4 linked regions of the Canis lupus familiaris genome follow. The protein of the gene in region 3 interacts with the protein of the main gene of each other region in a pairwise test. Links are inferred from orthologs where the notes say so. Each region holds a gene or a part of one and is shown on either strand. Other genes may lie near its edges.

Region 1 (4,266 bases), on a different chromosome or scaffold from region 3:
TTTCAGGTGAATCCTCCTTTACACGCGTGTAGGAGCAGAAGCCCAGTCTAGTTGGCTTTAGCGGATACACATTTAAAAAAAAAAAAAAGCCAAAGCGCATTAGGCTGCATGAAAGTGGAAAGCATAGTAGCAACTTGGTAGACAGATGGCAATGGCAGAACGCAGGTCCGCGTACATATATGAATCCGGAGTGTGTGTGTGACCGCGGCGGGCGGGGGGGGGCGACGACTGTATCTGTCCAGACGTATAGGTGTGTGTGTGTGTGTGTGTGTGCGCGCGCGTGTGTGTGTGTAGGTCCGTCTCGGCAGGGTGGCCGCGGCAGCCCTGGCGCTTGTCACCGCGTCACCACATGTCCAAAATATTCTGTGCATCAATGCAAGGGCAGGGAGCAGGGGGTGCAGGGACAGCTCGGCAGTCAGATCCTCCCAAATCGGGTTTCCAGGGAGCGGACCCTTTCACTCAAAGCGAGACTGCCTGCAAAGTGTAAAGCCCTTCACCGGTGAGCCCAGGAAGGAGTTGCCTCGGTAGAGCAAAGTACCGATTAACCGTGAACTTAAAGCGGATTGCAAACTGCAACCTTTGGCACCATCTGCAGACCGTGCAGACCGTGGGGGGTGGGGCCGCCTGGGCTTCGCTGCCTTCACCCGAGCGTGCGGCGTGCACCCCGGGACTGCAAGTTGCAGGAGCCCTTCGGTGCACGTGTCTGGTGCCTGTGAGTGTTTGTGAGTTGGGGGCTGTTGTTCGGAAGCCGGCAGGCTCTCCGGGTTGTTGGCGCTGGCTTGCAAATGCGGGAGAGGGATGGAATGTGGAATGTTGACCGGGGAACCGAATCCTGTCGGAACGGTCCCATTTGCTGGAGAAATTCGATCCCTTCCACCTCCTTCCCGCTCCCCCCCGCCCTCGCCCGCCCGCCCGCCCGCCCGCCCGCCCGCCTGCGGGCAGGAGGCGGGGCCGAGGACGCGGCTGCTGCTCAAAGTGGCGGAGCGCGGCGGCGGGAGGCAGGTGCACGGCACCCGCCAGTGGGGGTGCCTCAACTTCCGCGGGCGTTTAAATAGCAGGCTCTCTCCCCTCCCACCGGTAATAGGTGACCTGGCGGCCGAGGGCGGCGGGGGGAAGGGCCGGGGGAGCCCCGGGACCGAGCCTCCGCGGCACGTGGGCAGGTGCTGGGGGGGCCCCGGGGCCAACTTTTGTGGCCCGCCTCCGGCCTTGGGGCAGAGGCGGCTCCTGGTGGGAATGGGGGCGGGCGGCGGCCGAGGCGTCACCTAACGGTCCCGGGGGCGCCGCCGCGGGGCCGGGGTGGGGGGCTCCGGGGGCGGGGACGCCCGGCCCTCCGCGCCCGCGCCCGCGCCGCCCGCGCCCCGCACAAAGCCCGCGGCGCGGGGGCGGCCGCCGCGCCCCCGCCCGGGAGCGGCCCGAAGCCCGTCGCCGTCCCCGCGCCGATTCCGGCGGGCGGCCGCAGGCGTTTGTTTGTTGGTTCCGCGCCGCCTTCCTCGCCGGATGGCTTCCTGTGACAGAGGTGATCCACAGTTTCCAGAACTGTCTGGGGGCGGGAGCGGCCGCGGGAGCCGGAGCGGGAGCCGGAGCCGGAGCCGAGCCCGCCCGGGGCTGCTCGCCGCCGCCGCCTTCGCCGCCTTCGCCGCTCCCAGCTCGCGGCCGTTTCTCGCCGGCGCGGCCGCCGCGGCTCCAGGTGCCGCCCGGGAGGGACTCGGGGAGGGGACGGCGCGGCCGTTTCCAGCGGCGCAAGTGGCTTCTGGACGCGAGGGAGCGTTTGATTTGCAACTGGGGCCGAGCGGATTGGTGCAGCGGCGGCGGCGGGGCGGGAGGAGCGGCGGCGGGGGGGCGGCCACTTTCAAACGGAGAGGGCGGCGGCGGGGACGGCGCTGCGGAGGGAGCGGGCCCGGCTGCGCCACGAGAAGGTGTCATCGCTGCACCGGGGCTAATTCCGGCGGAGGTGCCGGGAGTTACTTTCCCCTCCTTCCGCGCTGTTGTTTCTGTCGCCTCGGGAGGAGGAGGCGGCGGAGGAGGAGGAGAGGAGAGGAGAGGAGAGGAGAGGCGGGAGGGCGGGCGGAGGGGGCGGTGCCGCGCGGAGCCGCGGCCCTGCGCACACCCGGCGGGCGGCGGGCGGCGGGCGGCGGGCGTCTGGGTGCGGGGCGGCGGCCCGGCTCCCCCGCAGCCCGGGGTCCCTCCCACGCGGGCGCCGCGTCCCGCCGCCTGCCCCGCCCGCCCCGCCCGCCCCCGGCTCCCCCTCCCCGGCTCCCCCTCCCCGGCTCCCCCTCCCGGACGCGCGGGGGCGGCCGCAGCCCCGGCGCCCGGAGAAGGCAGCGAGCAGACAAAAAAGCGGGCGATTTAAACGCGCCTTCGAAACCCGTTAGGAATGCGCCGTCCCCGGAGGCCGTTTGCGAGCGGCGGGGCCGGCCGGCGGCGACCCCAGCGCCCCAGGCCGCCCCGGGGCAGCTCCCCCGCTCGCCGCGAAGCCGCAGCTGCACGTCGGCCCCGACGACGGCCGTTCGGGGAAGCGGGAGCGCGTCGGAGGCTCCGCCGGTGGGGAAGGAACGCTTAGGGGCTCGTTTCCCAGAGGCTTTTACTAGGTGACCCCCCCGCCCCCGCCCCCGCCCCCCGCTTCCGGACGCTCCCTGTTGAAAGCCTGGCTCTGCGGCTCCTTGTAGCTCAAGGCTGTTTAGGATGTCTCAAGGCCCAGGAACTCGTTTCGGGGGACCGGGCAGCCCTTTCCCCGGAAGCCGGTTTCCTAGTGGTCCCGGTGGTTAGAGGGGACCGTGGGGCGTTGCGCTTTGCTCGGGTCGCCGCTGGTGGAGGCGCAGGGCCTCGCAGGGGAGAGGAAGGAAGAGTTCGTAGGACCCTGCTGGGACGCAGGCCTGACTCCGGGTGCAGTGCTCGTCGTAGAGCGGGCAGCACCCGTGGGGGGCAGAGGGTGTTTGGGGTGACCCTGCAGAGCGCACGTCTGCGGCCCAGAATTTTACTGCTTAGATTCCAAATATTTCCGACGACTTCTTGTTTGGTATTTGCTGGTCTTCCATAAGTTTGTGTATTTTTTTTTTTAAGATTTTATTTATTCATGAGAGAGAGAGGCAGAGACACAGGCAGAGGGAGAAGCAGGCTCCACGCAGGGAGCCCGACGTGGGACTCGATCCCGGGACTCCAGGGTCACACCCCGGGCTGAAGGCGGCGCCAAACCGCTGCGCCACCCCGGGGTCCCCAAGTTTGCGTGTTTTTATATTTATATATAAATTGGCAGTTTTGACGTCTACAGCAAATCGTTTGCAGCTAAGTGTACTGATTCCCCGTTTCCCCCTTCATTTTTCCATTAGGCAGACCTAAAGGGAGTTGCCTGACAAACTGTAGAACTTGAACTTGATTCTGCCCTAAGATCCTAGGCTGCTTTTTCTGTAAGGAAAGTTGGATGGGCTGCCACAGAAAATCTACCTATGACAAAGCTAGGTATATGTTCTTCTAAAAGGAAAAGAGGAGGGACTCCTGGGTGGCTCAGCGGTTGAGCGTCTGCCTTTGGCCCAGGGCGTGATCCCGGGATCTGGAATCGAGTCCCACGTCGGGCTCCCTGCATGGAGCCTGCTTCTCCCTCTGCCTGTGCCTCTGCCTCTCTCTCTCTCTCTCTCATGAATAAACAAACAAAATCTTAAAAAAAAATAAAAGGAAAAGAAGAAAGTCCATCATAACAGTTCCTCCTTTGTCCCATGACAGGGTTTTAGCCTATAATGAACCTTTTCGTCTTGTATTATTAAGGTTGAAAGAATAGCTATAGCCAGGAAAACTGAAAAATTAAGTGCGCTTGAGAGTGAGATGACGGGAAAAAACTTAGAGGAGTTTAAGGAAATGTTCTATTTTAAAAGGAACTGTTGCTTAGCTCAGAGGCTGGGGAAGGATTAGCTAAAAACTTGGAGAACTTGGAATAAGAGCAGATCTCCATGTGACTCGTTCATACTAGTCACTTAATAAATAATGATTTTTGGCTTTAAGGAGCCCTTAGTGGTTTAAAGTATTATTACAGAGGTGGTGTTGCACGTACATTGTTGGAAACTAGGAAATACGGGGAAGCAAATATCCAGAGATCACCACTGTATCACTTTATTGATAATTGTGCATATGTATATAGATTTTAATCAAAATGAGATCATACTATATATACAGTTCTATAAGGAGTGTCCCCCCCCCCCCAATCAGCCAGCTTGATAAATTCTCATCTTATTTGATACAGGGATATATTCAGATTTCCTCAGTTGGCCCTAAAGT
Region 2 (3,995 bases), on a different chromosome or scaffold from region 3:
TGTTGTAATAATTCTAGATGTACAGTTCCAATTGTGCTTACTGTACTGTGTAAAACATAGCAAAAAGAGCAAATAATGGTATAAATCTTACAGCATTTTGCTAGCAAAAATACATGCCAAAGTCACAATAAGCAATATTGTACCACAAATTGGAGAGCTTCAAATAATTTGCTTGTTTTTAATATTTTAATTCTACATTAAATTACTATTATAGGCTAATGTTTAAAATGCAAATAAATTGGACATCTGTAGGACAAAACTTATTCACTTAACAGTGAAGGCTGATACCGGTTTCCAAAAATCACAATAAATGCAGAATAAAGAGAAGTGTTTGCATGCAACACCTTTGAGTGAAACAGCATTGATTACAATTACCACCATTCAAAACAGAGAAGGAAGGAAGAAAGTAAGGAAGGAAGGAAGGAGAAAGGGATAGAGGGAGGTAGGAAAGAAGGAAGGAAGGCAGGCAGGCAGGAAGGATAGATACAGGAAGGAGGGACAGAAGGATGGACTCCACCTTAAAATGCATATTAGACTTATAATTAGATTTAAAAGAATCAAAATGAAAGTAAAGCACGTTTTTGTGTGTGTTTAAAGATTTAAGAGCCATTATCAAAAATAAGATACATTTTTTTCAAGGTACAGAAATGTAATTAGGATGGCTGGGAGCCCAGCAGCCTTTCAATGGCAGCATTGATGTCGCCTCCTGTTGCTATTAGAGCCTGCAAGTTTGCCTCACGGTTTAAGAACCCCATTGCGTTGAGCTGTTCCAGTTGTTGCTGAAATCTGACTTCTGGATTCGGCAGCTGTGGAGGACTTGCCCCAGCCAGAGCCTGCACCATTTGCTGAATGAACTGCTGGTTGGGTCCAGATTCTGATGTTGGGCTAGTGGTTTCGGTGGGTGTAGAGCTAGAAACAGTGGGCCCAGGGGGGCCTCCAGAGCCAGTAGAGCCAGGGCCTGCAGGGCCGGTGGGTCCTATGGGCCCAATGGGGCCTATGGGAGTAAATGGGACTATGGGGCCTATGGGGCCTATGGGTGTGACTGGGCCTACAGGGCCTATAGCGGTTCCCAGCACCCCTACCCCCACACCTGGAGTGAAGCTTGGAATGAGGCCAGGAGCTTCAGTGGCTAATGTCTGTAGCCCCTGCTGGATCTGCATTAAAGCCTGCATTGCTCTTGGGTTTGACATGGCTGATAGTGTGTCTGGATTCTGCATCTGCTGCAGGAAAGCTGGGAGCTGTGGACGCATCTGCTCCTGCAACTGAGGATTTGCAGTAAACACCGGGCTATTCAGCATCATCTGTGCAGCTAAATCTGGATTCTGGCTCAGCGACTGCATCATGCTTCTCATGTAGGGTGCAGACAGCATATTCTGGATCAGTTGAGGGTTTTCAGTTATCTGTTGCAGCAAGCTCTGCATTCCTGGGGTACTGAAGATGCTGGCAACATAGTTGGCTGCAGCCACGGTGTTCCCAGTAGCACTGCTGGAGCTACTGCCAGAGCCACTGCCACTGCTGGAGGTTGTGCTGGTGGTTGCAGAACTCTGGGTAGCCGGTGGTGGTGCCCATGGATTGGGTAGTGGATCTCGATTTTCTGTGCGGGAAGGTTGTGTACCTTCCCCAGAGGTGGAACTGCTTCCCACCGAGGCAAATGGATTACCCCCAAACTGCTCTTGTGCAGCATTCAGCATGGGTTCTTGAATATCAGTGTACATGCGTCGTAGAGCATTGTAGCCACCTGGGATGCTTTCAAGATTGCTGAGAGCCAAATCTTGATTTCTCATCATCTCTTGCATCATGGCTGGATTCCTGGCAATTTCCAGGGTCTGTCTCATTATATCTGGGTTGTTGAGCAGGTGACTGATTTCTGGATTTCTCTGAATCAACTGCTGCATCTGTGGATTGGCCATAATGAGCTGCCTCATTAGATCGGGATTTGAAAGCATGCTCTGAACAAAGGGATTTTCCATGATTTGAATCATCATCTCAGGGCTGGACAGGAGCTGCTGCTGCATCTGGTTCTGGAGCTCAGAGAAGTTGGTCGAGCTCAAGCCCAGGCTGCTAAGGCCTGCAAGTCCTCCTAAGCTCCCCAGCCCAAACGGGTTGCTATTTGTGGAAACAGATGTGGAGTTACTCCTGGGAGTCGACGCGGAGGTAGTATTAGTTCCCGCGGCATTACTAGGCTGTGTGGACTGGCCCTGAGGTCGGTTCTGGCTTTTAATTACAAGATGAACAGTCAGTCCATCATGGATGCCATGCTGAATCAAGGTATCTTGATCTTTTAAGATTTTTCCGGCAAAAATCAACACTAGCTGGTCGGTTTGGGATTTGAAGCGTTTTGAAATCGCTTCCTTAAACTGCTGGACTGAGCTATTCTCGGGCACCGCGAACTCCTCTTTCTCTTTGGGGGTCTTCACAGTAACTTTGATGATTTTGGGCTCGGCCGGGGCAGAGGCAGGGCCTTGGGCCGCGGCAGGGCCGCGGGAGGGGCGCGGGGGGCCGCTACTCTCGCCGTTCTCAGCCATGGCGGCCGCGGTGACGCAGGCAGACAGAGAAGGCGCGGGCGGGCGAGAAAGAGAGCGAGGGAAGAAGGAAGGAAGGAGGCGCCACCACAGCAGGCTGAGCCGGGCGGGGAGCGCAGAGCACGGTACCTCTGTGATGAGAACTGCGGTTTCCTGGTCCTCCGGTGGGGAGAAGACGCTGTAGGCCGCGGGAGAAGCGTCTGCGTTCAGGTCTCTGGGCCTCCTCCGACGCCGAGTGATCGCACCGCGCGCGCTCCCAGCAACTCCTGCAGCTGCTCTGCCCGCTCCTCCCCGCCCTGTCCCCTCCCCCAGTTCCGCGCTCGCCTCCCCGCCCCCTCTGCTGACGCGGCGCCAGGCCGAAAATGATAGATTCGACTCGTTCAAAATTAAAAACTTCTGTACTGGAAAAAATAAAGAGAGAGGGAGAGAGAGAAAAACAAAGACAGAAAGAAACAAAGAGAACAGAGAAGACAAAAGAGAGGGAAGGAGGAAGGGAGAGAGAAAAGGAGCTAGCTTCTGAGGACATTAAAAGACCCATGTAGAATATATTATATATAAAAATATATATAAAGTCTGTCAGGCAAGAAAGGATGAAAGCCTGAATCAAACTCACCCCATGTAAAAGACGAAAAATGAAAAAGAACTCTGACTAAGCAAAAGGAAAAGACTAACAGCCAGAGTGGGGGAAGGGGAGCAGACTGGGCCAGAGCATGCATTTTACAAAAGAAACCCAAATGGCCAATGAGCATAAAAATGGATGCTTAAGCTTACTAGTAATCAAAGAAATTCAATTAAGATAGTGAGATTCTACTTCTGCTTTATCATATTGGAAAAAGGAAAATAATGATAAACCTTATCATCAGTGAGCTGAGAAAATGCACTCTTATCAGTTGAAGTGTAAATTGTTATAAGTGTAAGGCAATTTGAAAATATGTATCAACATTTTAAATATTTCCATTTTTATTTAGAAATACCTTCTTTAGACACTTCTATGAAAGTAGATAAGGATGCAAAAATATATATGTATAAGATGTATATGCACTGCAGCATCTTAAAATTATTTTTAAAGATAATCAGGGATGCCTGGGTGGCTCAGCAGTTGAGCGTTTGCCTTTGACTCAGGGCTTGAGGTGCCAGTATCGAGTCCCCTGTCGGGATCCCTGCAAGGAGCCTGCTTCTCTCTGCCTGTGTCTCTCCTCTCTCTCTCTCTCTGTCTCTCATGAATAAATAAATAAAATCTTTAAAAAATAAAAAAATAAAGATAATCAGTGTGCTTACACAGGGTTGATAAAATATATTATGATATTACCACATAATAAAATACTTTGTGTAAAAAATCGGTGATTAATTCACCTGATATAAAGTATAAAGATATGCATTAAATAGGGATCCCTGGGTAGCTCAGCAATTGAGTATCTGCCTTCTGCTAAGGGCATGATCCCAGGGTCCTAGGATCAAGTTCTGCATTGGGTT
Region 3 (3,993 bases):
CCGAGTTAAAAATCGGACATGATTTAATACTGTCATTTATCATTAATTGTTCTGGGATAATTTAAATTCCACTAGCTTATTTTTTACGTTTTTTTTTTTTTTTTTTTTTTTTTTTACAGGTTATAATTGGGAAGCCGTATCCATATATCTGACTTATAATGTTCTAAGAATGGCAGTTAAATACAGTGCTATGTAAGACTGTTGATTTAAAAAAAATTGAGTATCAGATGAATGGGATCTATATAGTATTTCGGGGCTTAGCGAAGTCGTAAGCCATTAGGAATACTGTTTGTTAGTGATCCCACTACAGCTTTGCTAAGTGTCGCAGAGCCATAAAATAAGCCCTTTTAAATAAAAAGGTGACCTTGATAGTATGAAGACGCATGGCTTTAAGTGGCTTCAATTGTCACGGGGATGGAATCAGCATCCCCCCGGCTGGTGTGGACCACGAGGCCACCATCTCCTAACAACCTGCCAAGGGATGGGCTTTCACCTTCGACTACAGTGATGACATTGTGTCGGCGGGAGGCCCAAGCAGATGACCTTGTCCCCTGAAGGTGGCTCACGCTCTCGGGGTACCACAGCAGGACCTACAGCTGCCGCCTGACGGGAAGGGGCTGAGATCGAAGGCCCGGTGTCCGGAGGCGTCGGCCCCGCTATGCGGGGCTGGAAGCCATCACAGCCCCCGCCCCCCGGCGGACCCATCCCGGTTAACATCGGGAGCGTTTATGTCCTAGCACGTCCCTGGACTTGGGTATACCAGGGGGCCGTCCAGCCCTCCCAGGGGCTCCAGGGGGCTCCCGGCGTTACCCCCTTCTTTCCGCGGGGATAGAGCCACCACAGACAGAGGTGGCTCCATGGAAACACGAACTCCTCTGCCTCGTCCCAAGATGGCGACCAGCCCTGGTAGGACTCCAGGGAGCCCCGAGCCACTTCCCCTTCCCAGCAGGCCCTGCGCGGGCGACGACGGCAAGAAGGCAGGGGGCGGAGCCGGCGTGAGAGGGCGGGGCACAGCGCTGCGCCCGCCCGCGCGCACCCCAGCCCCGCCTCACGTCGCTGCGTCCCGGCCCGGAGCTCTCGCCCGGCCGGGCGGCGCGCGCTGCCTGCTGGGATACTCGGCCCGCCCAGCCAGTCCTCCCGGCTTGCGCTGCGGCCGCGAGATCCGCGTTTTTTTCCAAGATGGTGGCGCTGGGTTCGGGGTGACTGGCAGTAGACGACAGAGCCTGAATCCCCTTCGCCGGAACCTCGACACACCGCCTTCCTCCCGCTCACGCACCCCGCTGCCACTTAGCCATCCGCCGGCCTGCGCGCTCGCCTTCCGCCGCCGCCTCGGACTTGGGCTTCATCTTGCGGACCCAACGCTTCGGGCAGCGGGCGGCGGCGCCTCCCTCGGCGCGTCTCGGGGTCGCGCTCGGAGCAGTCCGCAGCCCAGCCCCGGCTCGGCGGGCCCCGCAGCTCCCCAGCGCGGACAGGCGGCGGCTGGCGGCGAGCTCGGGTTCTCTTGCGGCCCCGGCGCCCCCTTTCCCGGCCTCCGTCTCCGGAGAAGGAAGCGCGGGTCCCGCATGAGCCCCGGCGGTGGCGGCAGCGACAGGGAACGAGGCGGTGGCGGGCGGAGGCGGCGAGCGAAGGCTACTGCGACCAGTGAGGCAGCCGCGGCTGCGAGGGCCACGGCCCGGGCGCGGGGGCGACCGCAGGTCAGTGTGGCCGGGGGCCGTTCCCGACGTCGTCCGTGTCGCCGAGCCGCCTTCCGGGGCCTGGGAGGGAGGGTGGGAGGCCCCCGGACCGCGCGGCGGTGGGGGGGGGGGGGCGGCTGCTGCCAGGACTAGGCCTCTGGTGGCGGTGGCGGCGGCGGCGGCGGCTGCCTCCGTAACTGTCAGTCCTGGCCGAGGGCCGGAGGGAGGGTGGTGTGGCCGGAGGGGACGCGAGCGGGCCCGGGGCGGGGCGTGCAGGGCGTCGAGAGTTGGCCTCGGTGGAAGGGCTCGCGGAGCAGGCCGGAGCCGGGCTGGTAGGGCCGGCCCTCTCCTCCCGAGGGGAGAGTTTTTCTTGAGGGCTCGGCCCCGTGGGTGAAAAATGCTGAGCCTGGCGCTGCGGTGGGTTGGGATTTGGGGGTGGACGGTGGCGGGGGTGGGGTTGGGGGGGAGGGCGGATGAAGTGGGAAATCGAGCCCCGGGTCGCGTCCACAGATTATCCGCGTTTTCATGTTAAACGTGAGTTACCGGGTTTGCCAGAAATTCCCTTAAATGCAAACCTGCAAACAGTTGGCATTTTTTACTTTCCCTTTTCAGTTGAGAAAATGAAAAGGACTCTTTCTTCGTCATGGCGTGGAGGTTTTGTTGGTAAAGTGAGAATTGAACGTGGCAAATGCTTTAATCAATAAAATTGTTAGAAATGATTTTAATGTAGACTTAGACTCCTTCAAAGATAATTTAGTCTCTGAATTTTTAAAAACGACCAGTGGGCATACTAAAATAGAAACATTACTAAATCTGTCTGGGATTCTATTTATTAAGTGGCTAGGGTGCTGTTGAAATGTAAAAGAATAGTAATATGGGATTTACAGTCCATAGTTACCCTCCGTAAATATGAGGGGAATATGGATATGACCCATAATTTTGGAGAATTCCACTGCCTGCAATATTGAAAGAAGCAGGAAATTATTCCAGAATATTCTGGGGGGAAGAAAAGGGCCTGAAATGGAAAGGACCTAGAGTTTGGAAGTATAACTGTTAAAAAGTTACCTGTCAGAGTCACTGTGGATACCCAATAAATATCTTGAGTGAATTAGACAAGAAGGATAAGAAGTGTTTATTCATAATCTCTGACTAATAAGTACTCAGATTATTGTGTAAGCCATGTAAAAATTTAGAATTTAGAAAGATAAAAGTATAATTTTGTCATGATATATATAGAAATAATTTTAGAGGTAGATGGTGCTTATAAATCGGGTTATCACATTTGTAATAAAATGAATACAATATTCACGATGATGCTGATAAGACCAAAGAATGAACCTGAAGCCTTTTAAAGAAACTAATAATCATGACAACAAAAGCAAGAAATAAATTCAAGAAATAATGACCTTCTCCTTACAAGAATGGGACTGGAAACTAAGGAAGTCTTGTATCAATATATATTATCTAGTATGCTAAGTATTATGTACACTGTTGTCTGGACATTGCCTAGTTCTTGAGGACTTTACAGAGTAAATTACAATATTACAATGTTTTGGTTCCTTTTCAGGGGTTTTGTAAGCTGTTTTTGTTTTACTTCTCTGAAATTGTACATTTTTTTCATGGCTTAAAAAAATACCTTCTTAAGTATGCTTATTAGAAGTGTGAGGAAGACACATTCTCATCCCACTTGCCCAGCTCATGTAATAAGGTTTATTGGGTATTTAAAATTGGATTTTAACATTTAATCAGTTGTATTTCTTAAACTTTAGATCATTTTTAAAGTGGTACTCCTCTCTCCCCTCCAAAAAAGAAAAAAAAAAAATCACCCCACACATCTGAAATGATTTGCCATTTCAAATAAGCAGTCAGTGGAATAATCCAAAACTATGCATCATATCTAAATTTTTCAACCCAAACACTTGAAATATTTACAGATGTTTATTTTCTTAAATGATTATTGGTTATGTACTTGTCATGTTGCACATTTTTGTTTATATCTAAACTAGTATTGGTCAAAACAGGGACATTACATTAAGTACATAGGTATCTGTTAAGAAATTAGTTTTTTGATTTTTTTTATGAGTGAAGACAAGTTTTCTCTTTTTAGGATAATTCGGGATAACAGAGTTTTGGCTGATTTTGACATTCCCTGCTCTGCCCCCACTGCAAATGAAAAGATAAATTCAGACATTATAATGTATACAGGGAAGATAGCTTTGGAATTAGATTCCATTTTTACTTCTGGGCTCAACCTTACTTGTTTGATCTTAGAAAGTTACTTAGTCTTGGTGAGCTGCAGTTTTGTCATCTGTAAAATGGG
Region 4 (4,272 bases), on a different chromosome or scaffold from region 3:
GGACAGGTGGCTGGCTTAGTTGGTAGAGCATGCGACTCTTGATCTCAGGGTCAGGAGTTCAAGTCCCAGGTTGGGTGCAGAGCTTACATTAAATAAATAGATCGACAGAGACAGCAGAATGGTAGTTGCCTGAGGCTAGAGCAAAGGAGGAGATGTGGAGGTCCTAATAAATAGGCATAAAGTTTCATCCAAATGAGACCGAATAAGTCTTAAGAGATCCACTGTGTAACATTGTACTTAAAGTCAATGATAATATATTGTACAGCTAAAAATTTAAGAGGGTAGATCTCATGTTAAGTGAGATTATGTATTTTATTGTTTTTCACAATAAAATAAAGGGGAAAAAAGGAAGAGGTACAAGAAATGTGCTGTGGGATTATAAACTAATTCTGCTCTAGGAGAACACACAGAAACGCCTCAAGCATTTCAAAAGGGACAGTGGAATTCAGCCTTGAAAGACATTTAGAATTTGAAAGAAAGCAAAAAACAACAACAAAATCACCAAAAAAAAAAAAATCCCAGTAGTGGTTAGACTGGCTGGCTATAGGTGTTGATAAATAAGTGGCAATGTCAGAAAAGGTATAGGAAGAAGGATGGTGGCAGGCTGCTTGTGGGATGAAACTGGGAAGAGGAGCTGTGAAGAATTTGGGACTTTATTCCATAAACAAGGGCAAATCAGAGTTGGAATTTTGAGGGCAAGTTAACATTCCCCGCCTTCCCCAAATACAGTGATTATTTGTCCTATTTATCATTATCCCTAGCACCTAGCTGTATGGTACTGCAAGGCAGTGAAAACAATTATATTCTTTGTTAAGATGAAACATTAATTGAGGACCTATGTAGTATGGTGTGACAGCCAGGTGGGGTTAAGGATGAGATTTACATTCAAGACAAAGAGGCTGACAGGTAGATATAGCAAGTTACACCAGAGATAACGGAAAATGGCGCCTTAGGAGCCTAAGGGAAGAAAGGATTGATGTTGCCTTAAAGGTTTATAGGGTTTGGGGCAGCTCCGGTGGCTCAGTGGTTTAGCACTGCCTTCAGCCCAGGGCGTGATCCTGGGGACCTGGGATCAAGTCCTGTGTTGGGCTTCCTGCATGGAGCCTGCCTCTCTATCTCCCATGAATAAACAAATAAAATCTTAAAAAAAAAAAAAAAAAAGCTTATAGGGTTTGACAAAGGAAGTCTGAGTCTGTAGCTAGGCTTTGAAAGATAAATAGCTGTCCGGCAGAGATAGGGAACGTAAATTAAATTATTGTTTTAAATATATCAGAATCTTGGGGCACCTGGGTGGCTCAATGGTTGAGTGTCTGCCTTCAGCTCAGGGTGTTTGTTATCCTGGGGTCCCGGGATCCAGTCCCACATGAGTCCTGATGGGAGCCTGCTTCTCCCTCTGCCTATGTTTCTGCCTCTCTTTGCGATTCTCATGAATAAATAAAGAAAAACTTCAAAAAAAAAAAAAACATAAATAAATATATCAGGATATATCAGGATCTCTTAAGACAGAATTATTCACAATAGTAAAAATGTGGGGAAAAAAAAAACAAACCAAGCGTCCATGAACGAACGGACAGGAAGGGGTACAGGCACACAGTGAAACACTACTCACCCTTAAAAAGAGATTCTGACCCATGCTGTATAGGGGGATGAATCTTGAGGATGTTACAGCGGTAAGTGCAATAAGCTGGTCACAAAAGAACAAATACGGTACGACTCCAAGCAGACCAGGCGACCAGAACAGTGAAATTCATCTGAACTACGGGGGATGAAGGAAGGCTGCCAGGTGCTGGGGGCAGGGTGGGGGGAACGGGGAGCGACGGTTTAGGGGTCGCAGAGTGTCAACTTTTGGGAAGCCCAGGAGTTGCCGCGAGGGCCGGCGCCGATCCACCCAAGGGCTGCTTGACAAGCTCCACGTACGCCCTTAACGCCACTCAACTCTACTCTTAAAAAAAAGTTAGCTGGGAAGTTTTGTAGGTCGATGTAACATAACATGTAACATCCATGTCACGCATGTCTTACAATTTAAAAAAAAAAAAAAAAAAAAAAAGGAGGACTTCATAAGACATTCGGAAGTCCACAGTCTCAGGAAAAAAGAAGTGATGCATCTGCACTAAGAAACCCAAGGGGCGGCAGCGGCAGGAAGGAGGGCCCAGGAGCCTGGGAGGCCCTGGGAGGTGCGCGTAGAGGGAGGGGGACGCGAGGAAGGAGCGCGCCCCCGACGCTTTCGGGCGGGCCCGGGTCCCCGCGAGCGTCCTCTCCGCGCACGGCTCCCCAGCACGGCAGCGGCCTGGCCGTCGGGTGCCCTCGGGGCCGAGCCTGCCACCTACCCTGCGCGCCCCGGGGTCCGCCGAGGTGCCCCGGGGTCCAACGAGGTGCCCCGGGGTCCGCCGAGGCGCCCAGGGCCCGCTGAAGTGCCCCAGGGTCCGCCGAGGTGCCCCAGGGCCCGCCGAGGCGCCCAGGGCCGACGGGGCCGCCGGCCTTACGGGCGGGGACGGCAGAAGGACGGGACCCAGGCGCTCGGGGGGGGGGGGGGGCGGGGGTCTCTACTCCCGTCGGCCGCGCCCCCCCCCCCCACGCCCGCCCGGGGAACGGGGCTCCGGAAGTGGGGACGGCGGCCCGGGGAAGTTCCGCGAGGAAGGGGCGCGCGCCGACTTACTCCTCCAGGAAATCCAGGAAGAGCTTCTGGCACTTCTCGGCCACCTCGTCGCGGACTTCCTGGCGCTGGCTGCCGGCGCCCGGCTCCGCCGCCGCCCCGAGGTCCATGGCCGCCGGCGCCGAGGGGCCTCAGCCCGCACGCTCCTCAGCCAGCGGTCGCTTCCCCGCAGACGCTGCCGCTCGGCGCGCGCCCCCGGCGGCGGCCGCGACCAATCGTGGCGCGAGAGCTCGCGGGTTTCGCGCCAAACCTGCCCAATGAGCGCGGCTTCTCCCTCGGCCCCGCCCCCGGAGCCGGGATTTCGCGCCAAATGCAAAGACCGGGAGGAAGCCCCGCGGGCTCGGCCTTTGCGCCTGCGCGGTGCGGCCGGCGGCCGGCAGCTTGGTTTCTGGCGCAGCTTAGGAGGTTGCGTCGGGATTCACGTGGATTTCCAGGTGTTCTTCAAGTCGTTTCACTGATACCCATTGAGCAGTAGACATAAGGCTCCGTGGAAGAGAAAAATGAGTAAGATCCAGACCTGCCCGAGCTGTGTGTTTGGAGGAAATCGTAAATCACCGGTTGCAACTGTCCAGGAGCCCGAAGAGATGTGTCAAGTCACCAGGGAGCAGGGGTCGCAGAGTCACTGTGGCTGGGGCCGACCCGAGGAAATCAGCGAGGTTTCTGTCGTTGATGGACTCCTCCCTTGAATGCAACTGTTGGTTTAGGTCCTCTGGATTTTCTTTACTCTCTCTGGCCATCTTTCCCCGACTTCGTTCCTCTTGCTTTTTCTCCTCTTTGGCCGTTCTTGGGTAGCCTCTGGAGCTGCTTCTCCAGTGAGTCCCTTAAGTGCCTGGTCCCAGAGCCCTTCTTTCTCCCAAAGAAGCTGTCTTGGGGGGCCCTCTTCTTTCCTGTTGTCGTGGGATCACTGGCCTAGCCTGGTCAGGAAGGAATTCTCGAGAGGTTTTACGGCGCAGCTTAGCAAGTGCATTTAAGTAGCACCGGGGTAGGACCCATAGGCTGGAAGAGCTGCACCTTTGCTGCATGAAACTGGTGGTTATAAGCTTAATGTTCAAGGGGCAGGGGACATGCAGGAAGTACTAGATCATAAATATTTTCTTCAAATTTCGGCTCATAAAACTACTTTCGCAAGATTTCTCCGGTGCTTACTCAGCTTGAATATTAACTATTGGCGAGATGTACAGGCAGTTGAGATAGCAAAGGCTTAGGGTTCCACACCAAGGGCCAAGAAAGAATTCTTGAGACACCTTTGGTGCAAAAAAATGATTTTATCAAGGCACAGGGACGGGATCCAGGAGGAGAAAAAGCTGCACTGGGGTCATGAGGAGTGGCCCATTATATACTTTCAAGATGGGAGGGAGTTGGGGGTGGTGTAACCCTACCAGGTATTTTGGAAACAAGATTTCCTTGTTCCAGATCCTGCTGGGTCTAGCTATTCGTAGGAAAGGTCATTTATTACTGTTCAGTAAAAACTCCGTTGTGAGACCCTTCAAGTTGTATATTGGTGGATCATATACCTGGGGGGGATGATTGCCAACGTGTATCGTGGCAGGTAGAAATAAAGGAGGTTTCCAAAGGAATTTTTTTATGTTAAAGTAGACTTACAGGATCCTAGGGGCTGG

What was found.
Region 1: the proteins of UBE3A (region 3) and JADE1 interact in a two-hybrid assay, tested with the Homo sapiens proteins (3 studies listed by BioGRID and IntAct). The link is inferred for Canis lupus familiaris from reciprocal best matches to the Homo sapiens genes UBE3A and JADE1.
Region 2: the proteins of UBE3A (region 3) and UBQLN2 interact in a two-hybrid assay, tested with the Homo sapiens proteins (2 studies listed by BioGRID and IntAct). The link is inferred for Canis lupus familiaris from reciprocal best matches to the Homo sapiens genes UBE3A and UBQLN2.
Region 4: the proteins of UBE3A (region 3) and MCM6 interact in binary tests that used the Homo sapiens proteins (3 or more experiments, as listed by UniProt). The link is inferred for Canis lupus familiaris from reciprocal best matches to the Homo sapiens genes UBE3A and MCM6.

The regions. Positions count from the first base shown.
Region 1 is NC_049240.1:13,053,922-13,058,187, reverse strand, and holds the start of JADE1 (protein Jade-1), read left to right. Parts: upstream 1-1,432; 5' UTR 1,433-1,497; coding exon 1,498-1,516; intron 1,517-1,862; exon of another isoform or gene 1,863-1,951; intron 1,952-2,470; exon of another isoform or gene 2,471-2,588; intron 2,589-4,266.
Region 2 is NC_049260.1:48,015,665-48,019,659, reverse strand, and holds the start of UBQLN2 (ubiquilin-2), read right to left. Parts: upstream 2,815-3,995; 5' UTR 2,526-2,814; coding exon 654-2,525; 3' UTR 1-653. UniProt on the Homo sapiens protein: Plays an important role in the regulation of different protein degradation mechanisms and pathways including ubiquitin-proteasome system (UPS), autophagy and the endoplasmic reticulum-associated protein degradation (ERAD) pathway.
Region 3 is NC_049224.1:35,646,791-35,650,783, forward strand, and holds the start of UBE3A (ubiquitin-protein ligase E3A), read left to right. Parts: upstream 1-1,175; 5' UTR 1,176-1,694; intron 1,695-3,993. UniProt on the Homo sapiens protein: E3 ubiquitin-protein ligase which accepts ubiquitin from an E2 ubiquitin-conjugating enzyme in the form of a thioester and transfers it to its substrates.
Region 4 is NC_049240.1:40,137,149-40,141,420, forward strand, and holds the start of MCM6 (DNA replication licensing factor MCM6), read right to left. Parts: upstream 2,824-4,272; 5' UTR 2,764-2,823; coding exon 2,657-2,763; intron 1-2,656. UniProt on the Homo sapiens protein: Acts as a component of the MCM2-7 complex (MCM complex) which is the replicative helicase essential for 'once per cell cycle' DNA replication initiation and elongation in eukaryotic cells.